Oryzias latipes: one gene and its partner. The protein of the gene in region 1 interacts with the protein of each later gene in a biochemical or structural test. Links are inferred from orthologs where the notes say so. Each region holds a gene or a part of one and is shown in the gene's direction. Other genes may lie near its edges.

Region 1 (3,512 bases):
AAAGGCTCTAAATAAATGTTCTGCCTCTCCTGGAGGGTGTTTCAGTTTGACCACTAGGTGGAGCTGGCGCTGTAGCTACAGCATTGTACTCTACCCCAGAAGATTTGAGCAAAAAACCACAAGCGGTTACTGTAAAAAATGCTTCCGTAAAAGAGTTCATGCCTGTGAGTCTACAAAGCTGTTCATTTAGTCTGCAGTGTATATTTAGGTCGAACGAGCGTTAGCATTAGCCGTCCTATGGGAAATCATCTACAAATTCATCTTCTTAACCGTTTTGTCCCTTTTGTGGTCATGGGGCTGCTGGAGCCTATCCTGGCCACTTGTGGGTGAAGGCAGGGGACATCCTGGACAGCTCGTCAGTCTGTCGCAGGGCCACAATCACACACACTCACATTCACACCAATGCACAATTTAGAGTCACCAATTAACCTATGAAGCATGTTTTTGGACGGTGGGAGGAAGCCGGAGTCCCTGGAGAAAACCCACGCATGCACAGGGAGAACATGCAGCCACTGTACATGTATCAGAGCCTATTAGTAAAGTGAACATGAACCTGCCGTCAATATTTTGGAAAATTTCTAACAGTTTACAGTTGTACACCATGATCATTTCAAAGCTTGATCTCGCCAAATATCACAAAATCTTGTGAGAGTAGCGTTAGGTCAAAGGAAAGAGTCATCTCTATTTTATGAATCGATTATTGATCTTGGATCAATTCAGATCAATTAATCGGTTCTATCAACCCAGCACTAGTGGTTCTCTCTAAAAAAAGAAATGTGTCAAAAATTCTTAAACTCAAAAAAGCAGTTTTGTTTTTTTTAAAGAAAAATATCTACCAATTGGATAAAAACTTGGTGACTTCTAGAAATGTTCACTTCCAAACTGAGAAAGTCCTGCATTTTGTGGTACATCACAAATTAGTGGCGAATGGCGTGAAGGGGTGCAGTAGTGTTGAAAGGATAAGGGGCATGAGGGCAGTTCTGCATCTCTGGGCTCCAGCAGCATCTTCTCCATTTGAAGGTAAACTAACCAAACATTAAATGAACCTAACACCGGTTCTCTTTGTGCTTTTCTTCTTGATGTCTTTTTCAGGACATTTCTGGGACGTGTCACAGCCAGGCACCACAAAAGCCAGTTCGCAGGAAATACCATGCAGAGAGCCAAGACTCTGAGGGCATCCCCCCACCTGCCGTGCCGTTCCCCCTCCAGGACAAGCCGGTTCAGAAGTGAGTCCAACACTTGTAGCCTGAATCTTTGCTGATTCTGTCTTCAGTAGCTGAAGCTGCAACAGCGGGTCAGTCCGATGAAATCTGGGTGTTTTTTGACTTGGTTCAGTCCCATTTAAAGCGGGAGGTCGTTCTCCTCCTCCGCTTGGCGCTTTTTTGTCATCAAAGGCAGGACTTTGGTTGAATCCGAAACAGAACAGTGGAAACTTAAATGTGAAAAAACTTAAATGTGACCAACCTAAACCTGCTGTGAAAAAATCAATCTTTCATCACACAATGTGTTTTATTCAGCTCCTTTTGATTTTCTTATAAAAATAAACACCCCATACAACAAAGAATGAGGGACAGAACTAGCTCTAATAGAGACATGGCTTAACTTGATCCAAAAAAACAAAAACCAGAACAGTCGGTTTGCTTGTAATCACTATTGCATTTAATTTGAAACTGAAAGACTTTCTTTTATAAAAGAAATCCTTTAGCAAATTTAAACATATTTCCACATATTGGCAGTTCAATCTGCTTTTAGTTAAACAATTATGCTTTTAGATCAGCTATCTAAAAACTTGCTTTAAATGCTTAATTGGATAACTTTATAAATGTATAACTTAACATATAATTTCATGCATTAATTATTTAGCAGAGTTTTACATATTCAAAGTAATGCAGATTTCTTTCATTATGTTTATCAATTCATCATGAACTATTTTACATAAACAAAAGCCACCAAAGTGATGCATTTATTTGACCAATAAAGAACAAATCCATAAAATGTCTATGAAAAACAAACACAACCATAACTTTATCATAAAAGAAAAGGTTAAAAAAAAGCTAAAGGCTAGATTGTGCTGCTCACAAACTTTACAGGAACATTTTGACATGTCATTATTGTCATTTGATAGTTGAGGAATAACTGACTGTTGAATACATGGAAGCATTTAAAAATTCCTTTCATGGCTGCAGAGTTCTATTTGGAAAGAGTCTTTATAGTCTGTGAATGTTCCCTCATTTAAAAAACTGTTGGTTCTAGTTTGCGTTTGCTGCACGTTCTGGACAGAAAGCAGCAAACCAGATCCTTCTTGAGTCCAACTTAAAGAAAAATAATAAATAAAGCTAAACCACTGTTGTTCATTTGTTCAGCTCTTTGGATTCTTTGGGATGTGTGCGTGTTCGGATGCAGTTTGGAAAATGAGGCGTTCTGATGCTGTCTTGGGGATTGTTTAGCGAACCTTTGAGTCAGCTTGAAAAACCCATGAAACCTGAACAGAAAGGGGGATTCAGCCGACATCAAGGCACGCACTAATTCACCATAATGACTCTAGCATGTGTGGGTCCGTCTCCTCTCGGAGCAGACGGACGGCTCGCTGAAACTATCGGAGCAGTAAACAGGGACCATCAATAACCACGGCGGCTCCGGAGCGAAGGCGGCCCTCTGTTGGCCGATCCTTTGGAGGAGCACGCACGTTTCATCTGCTGATTCTTCTGATGCTCTGTCAGGCTGCAGTCCAAGCAGAAGAGGACGATCCAGATGGCGATCCGTAAGAACAGGGAGACTAACGCCGTCCTGACTCGCCTGAACAGTGAGCTGCAACAGCAACTTAAGGTAGGGGGACTCTTTGATTTTTGGATCAACAGAACATTTTCCTGTAAGACTGTGTTTGTTTGGGTTTGCTTCTTCATTCTTTGCCCTCTCTGGAAAACCAGGATGGGAATAACAGACCTGCAGACCTTAGAGGTTGCACGTTTGACCCCTTAAGGCCTGATGTAACTTTAGATCATCTAGGTTCCAACGCTGAGGGGGGAGGCGCCCCGACCTGAACCTCTGTCACAGCAAACTACAGTATTCTGCGGCTCAACAAAAGTGTGCTCCTGTTTGTGGGGGAATTTGAGGTCGGCTCGTTTGCAAATGACAGAAAAACCTTTTCTTTCACCGCCTCGACTTAGTGAAAAGCTTCGAGCTCAGGCGTGTGTGTGTGTCCCCCCCGCCATCACTCAAAGCTGAACTAATGACAGAGACTGGGCTGTTTACGTTGCAGATCCGCCTGTGGCACACTCACTCACATTACCAACACATGCTGCATGCCTGTCATTCTGCTTGTACGTGCTCTTTCACGCTCACGTGGAACGCCTTTAATGTTGTCATGCAACGCAGGCTGCGCCGCAAAATAAAACAACACATTTCTCCAGTTTGATCAACTCTGGTTTCACTGGAGGGGATTATTTTAATATATTTTTTTTCTTCTTCTGTTGGAAAAAATGTCAACTGGGATGATTTAGATTCACTCCATC
Region 2 (4,104 bases), on another chromosome or scaffold:
ACTAGGCTCAGATGAGGGATCTAGTAGAGCTTTCCTGACACTTACTGGGAAGTTGCATAAGGAACATCTTCTGTTACACTGTCAAATTTGCTGAAGCTTTTCACTTCTTTAACAAAAACTTTGTTGTTTTTTTTGTCCTTAAGGCACATGATGCATTCTCCTTAAAACCTATAATATAATTGTAATAAAATAAACACAAAAAAAACAACTAGTACCAAGAACTGCTATAAGAATAATAACAGAAAAAACAAGTTTAATGAGCACAAAGAAGAAACAAACAGGATGGTGACATCATCCACTGGTTTAATCAAGTAACAAGAGCTAGAATTAGTGGCATTTAGTTACTAATAGGATTTAGAATGCAAATTGTCCTCTGCATCAGTTTCCTAGTAGATTTTGAATAAGATGAAAATGTGACATAGAGAGCATGAAATGGGATGATTGAAAGTCACAATTAAACATTGTCTTTTCTGTACAACAAATAAAAATAGTGCCATCTTGTTGGTGAGTTAAAAAAAAAAGAAAAAAATAGTCTCCTAGTAAATTATGACAAAATTGCAATTTTTCTAAATAAAGGGATTAAAAAAAAATCCTGAACTAAACTTTCAACACTGTTTTCTTGTTTGGTTTTTATGGCTCCACTAACGGGCCACAGGCTTTTTGTGGCTTCGTTTAAATCAAGACATACGGTAGTCCAATGGTGCCTCTTTGTGGACAAAATCATTCATTGCATTTTTAAAAATAAACAAAATACTCACATAGTAAAAATAATCAATATATTTAAGGTGTACTCTGTTACAATTTAAAAGATATTTAAATCAATTCATTTTTTCAATTATGTAAAAATAAAAAGAAAGAAAGAAAAAAAGAAATTAACATGCACACAGACAAATAAATAATAAAGGAAGTGAAAGTTTCAACTGATGTTTCTGTTACCATTTGTCCTTGTTAGTTCTTGATTTTTATACTCTGCTTTCAGTTTCTCTGTTTGATGGATAACCAAGGTTATTATGCTTCTAAAATTTTGCAAAAATAGGCACTGCTATTTGTTAGCTATTTTTGTCTCTAATTGACTCCTCTATATTCACTCTTCTTAGTTGACCTAAATGAAGGCAGGGCTCTCGTACACGTGCACAAAACAAACAATAGAAGAAGAACATTTATTTAATCAATGGAGGACTTCGTGTTTACTTTTCTTTCCTTTGACTAAACAGCTTCAAATGCGGCATGATTTTTAATACAAGGTTTGTGCAACAAAATAAAATTTAAAAAATGCATTTTTATGTTTGTTTCTGGGCTGTTTTGAATTGTGACTGGTGTGAAAAGTATATGAATTAATCATGAGTTATACCAGCATGGCATGATGAAAACACAGCTACAGGGGGTGCGGTCTTTCCTGTAAGGAAGCACGGAAGCGGAAATTCGGCCATCTCCTCGTACATTCAAGCTGCAACAGGGTTAGTACACACTTCATTTAGGTATTTATTTATTGTTTTGTTTGCATCTCCAACAGTTTTGCCCATATGACTTTTTGATGAGTGTCTTCAACACTCCCCCGCAGCAGAACACGCGTTTTAAATGCCGCACAACAAAGCAGTCAGATGGCATTCACGAACTAGCATCAGAAGCTAGCTAGCTAACAGTTACATTCAAGGAGCAGCAAGTGATTTCTTGGTATGGGAAACTGTCAGGTAACGTTACCTTCGTGTTCACTCTGCTGAGGGTCAGCGATATGACGTGAAGATTTCTATTTGGTTTGCATTAGTTAGCCCGCTTCTTTGCTCCCGTCTTGTGGACCCAAGTTAATAGTTTACCTAGACTTTACTTAGACAAACTGTTTCGATTAGCCATATGCTAGCTAGCTAATGTTAGCCATAAAATGACAGCTACTTTTAGTTACGTGTTTTTTTTTTTGTTTTTAACTTTTGTCTCACATAAAGACTTGGCGACACCATAGTATTCTGTATAATTGCTGAATGGTGTTGTACCTATTTGGCTTCTTTAAAGGCGTTCATACGTTAAGAGTTGCATAACGTGTATTAATATTAGGTTGCTAGCCAACCTTTAGCTTGTTAACTTAATAGGTGTGACAGGCAAAATCCAATTTTGTCTGACTGGGTAACGGTTGTTGGCTTATCTACAGTTTAGTTATCTGGATGGAAACCTTTTCTTTACGGGCCTGCGCACCGTCAACTGCATGATAACACAAGAGAGGAGGAATAATTGAAAGTAAGTTGAGTTCAGTGTCAGCTCTGCTACTTGATGTTAGTTTGAATTAAATTAAAAGTTTCAATCAAGCTAATACCAGAGCTCTCACTTTTTTAATGTTAAGTTTTAAATTGTGGCCTGGATGTATTATCTTATATTAGTTCTAGCTTTACTAGCCAAGTTAGTTTTAATATTGCCAAAAATATTACGATTTTTTTTTCCCGAGATGTAACTGAGCTGAATGTTTTTTTGTTTGTTTGTTTTTATTAGTAGAACAAGTTGAACCTTCCAGCTGCTTAACTTCAGTGTCAACATATTCCAGAACCTCAACCTTACACACAAGGTGTGTTTGTACTTTGCTCAGCCATGCTGCGAGTGACAAAGGTTAAAAAATAGTTAACCACTAAATGAAATTCGCGTTTTTCAAAATTTAGATTTTGAGATTGAAGTCAAAGCTGTAAAAATAATCATAAATCAAAGTTGTCAGTAAATGTTCATAGATGAGCTTAAAATCATGAGCAAATTTAGTTTTATCAATGTTACTAGCAAGTTGAGGGAGTGGTCCTGCTATCAGCTGCTGTCATTAGAAGTTAACAAAGTGGCGGCAATCTTTATGCAGGTCAGTGTTATGTCACATAGGTGTAGTTCATGTTAGGCTTGCCAACATTTTCCTGAATAAATAACTGCACTATTCTGTTAAGTGCATGGGAAGCGTGATAGACAATATGTTCTTAAAGGTTTGGGGGGAGAATGAAGACGTGTTTTTTTTCTTTCTTATTTTAGCAAAAATAATGCAAAATTAGCTTTTTCGTCTCTCAAAATTAAAAGATTTAGGGTTAAGCTGTTGTTTTTTGTGACTTAAAATAAAACACCCTTTTACTACAAATGTTAAGTGTGTGGAGATACTGTAACATTTAGCTGCAATATTTAGTTTAGCATGCTGATGGTTTATTCATTCAAAAAAGTGGATCATGATGTTTCATAATCCACTGTTTTTAGTCAAACTGTTGGTGGACTCTGAAATTGTAATCCCTTTAGTATCACTCCATAATCAGTCATTTCCATTTAAATTTGTTTTTTTTATAAATATATTTGTTGCGTGTTCTTTACAGTTGGTATAGATGAATGAGCCTGATCTTCTCGTACCATTACTTGTATACAAATGAAAAACAATGTAGTATTGGAGTTAATTCAAGACCCTTTACATGACCACCTATTAATGAAATTATCAATTTGCTGCTTTTTGCATCACACCTCTTCATTTTTAAGAAAACTCAAATTGCATCTCTAGAAAATTTGGGGTTTGTTGCATCCATTTTGTTGTTGTTGTGGTTTTGTACCAAAAGTTGAGGTTTTAGTTGTTAGGGAAAGTACAAAAGGGAAAGGATACATCTGGTCAGCAACTATGGTTTAACCTGCTGTGCAAGCAATTGAGAACAAACGATACACAAGAGGGAATGGCCTGGGGTGAAACGGTGGGCCTCATAATATTTCACATAATCATGCATAGCATGAAGTAAAACAGATTAGGTCATGTCTGTGATTATTTTAAAAACGAAAGCACTAATAAAAACAACAGCTTACTGACCCCAGACTCCTCAGCCTTACTTTTTGGTCCTTTTGACTCATTGTAGGTTTTAACGACATTGTACCTAAACTTATGCTTTTATTAGAAAAGCTGTGTTTATAATTACAGTTTATTGTTATTATAACCATTGTTTTCTTTTGGTTTCTAGCTGTTAGTGGTGAAATAAGGGAAGTTGTTTACAGAACTTTAAGTAACAGATCTTTTTCACAACCTAATTCAATGACCTCTTGAAGTTTTAAAGGACTTGCTAGTAAGCTGCATGTGTTTCGATTCTTTTAAAAAATATGGACGCTTCCCTCTAAAGCTCA

The links. The genes of interacting proteins can lie anywhere in the genome.
Region 2: the proteins of reps2 (region 1) and epsin-1 form a complex in vitro, tested with the Homo sapiens proteins (3 studies listed by BioGRID and IntAct, with this or other methods). The link is inferred for Oryzias latipes from reciprocal best matches to the Homo sapiens genes REPS2 and EPN1.

Annotation. Positions count from the first base shown.
Region 1 is NC_019862.2:28,744,834-28,748,345, forward strand, and holds part of reps2 (ralBP1-associated Eps domain-containing protein 2), read left to right. Parts: intron 1-1,092; coding exon 1,093-1,226; intron 1,227-2,720; coding exon 2,721-2,826; intron 2,827-3,512. UniProt on the Homo sapiens protein: Involved in ligand-dependent receptor mediated endocytosis of the EGF and insulin receptors as part of the Ral signaling pathway. By controlling growth factor receptors endocytosis may regulate cell survival.
Region 2 is NC_019874.2:19,874,789-19,878,892, reverse strand, and holds the start of epsin-1, read left to right. Parts: upstream 1-1,304; 5' UTR 1,305-1,457; intron 1,458-1,464; exon of another isoform or gene 1,465-1,691; intron 1,692-2,143; 5' UTR 2,144-2,229; intron 2,230-2,478; exon of another isoform or gene 2,479-2,551; intron 2,552-4,104. UniProt on the Homo sapiens protein: Binds to membranes enriched in phosphatidylinositol 4,5-bisphosphate (PtdIns(4,5)P2). Modifies membrane curvature and facilitates the formation of clathrin-coated invaginations. Regulates receptor-mediated endocytosis.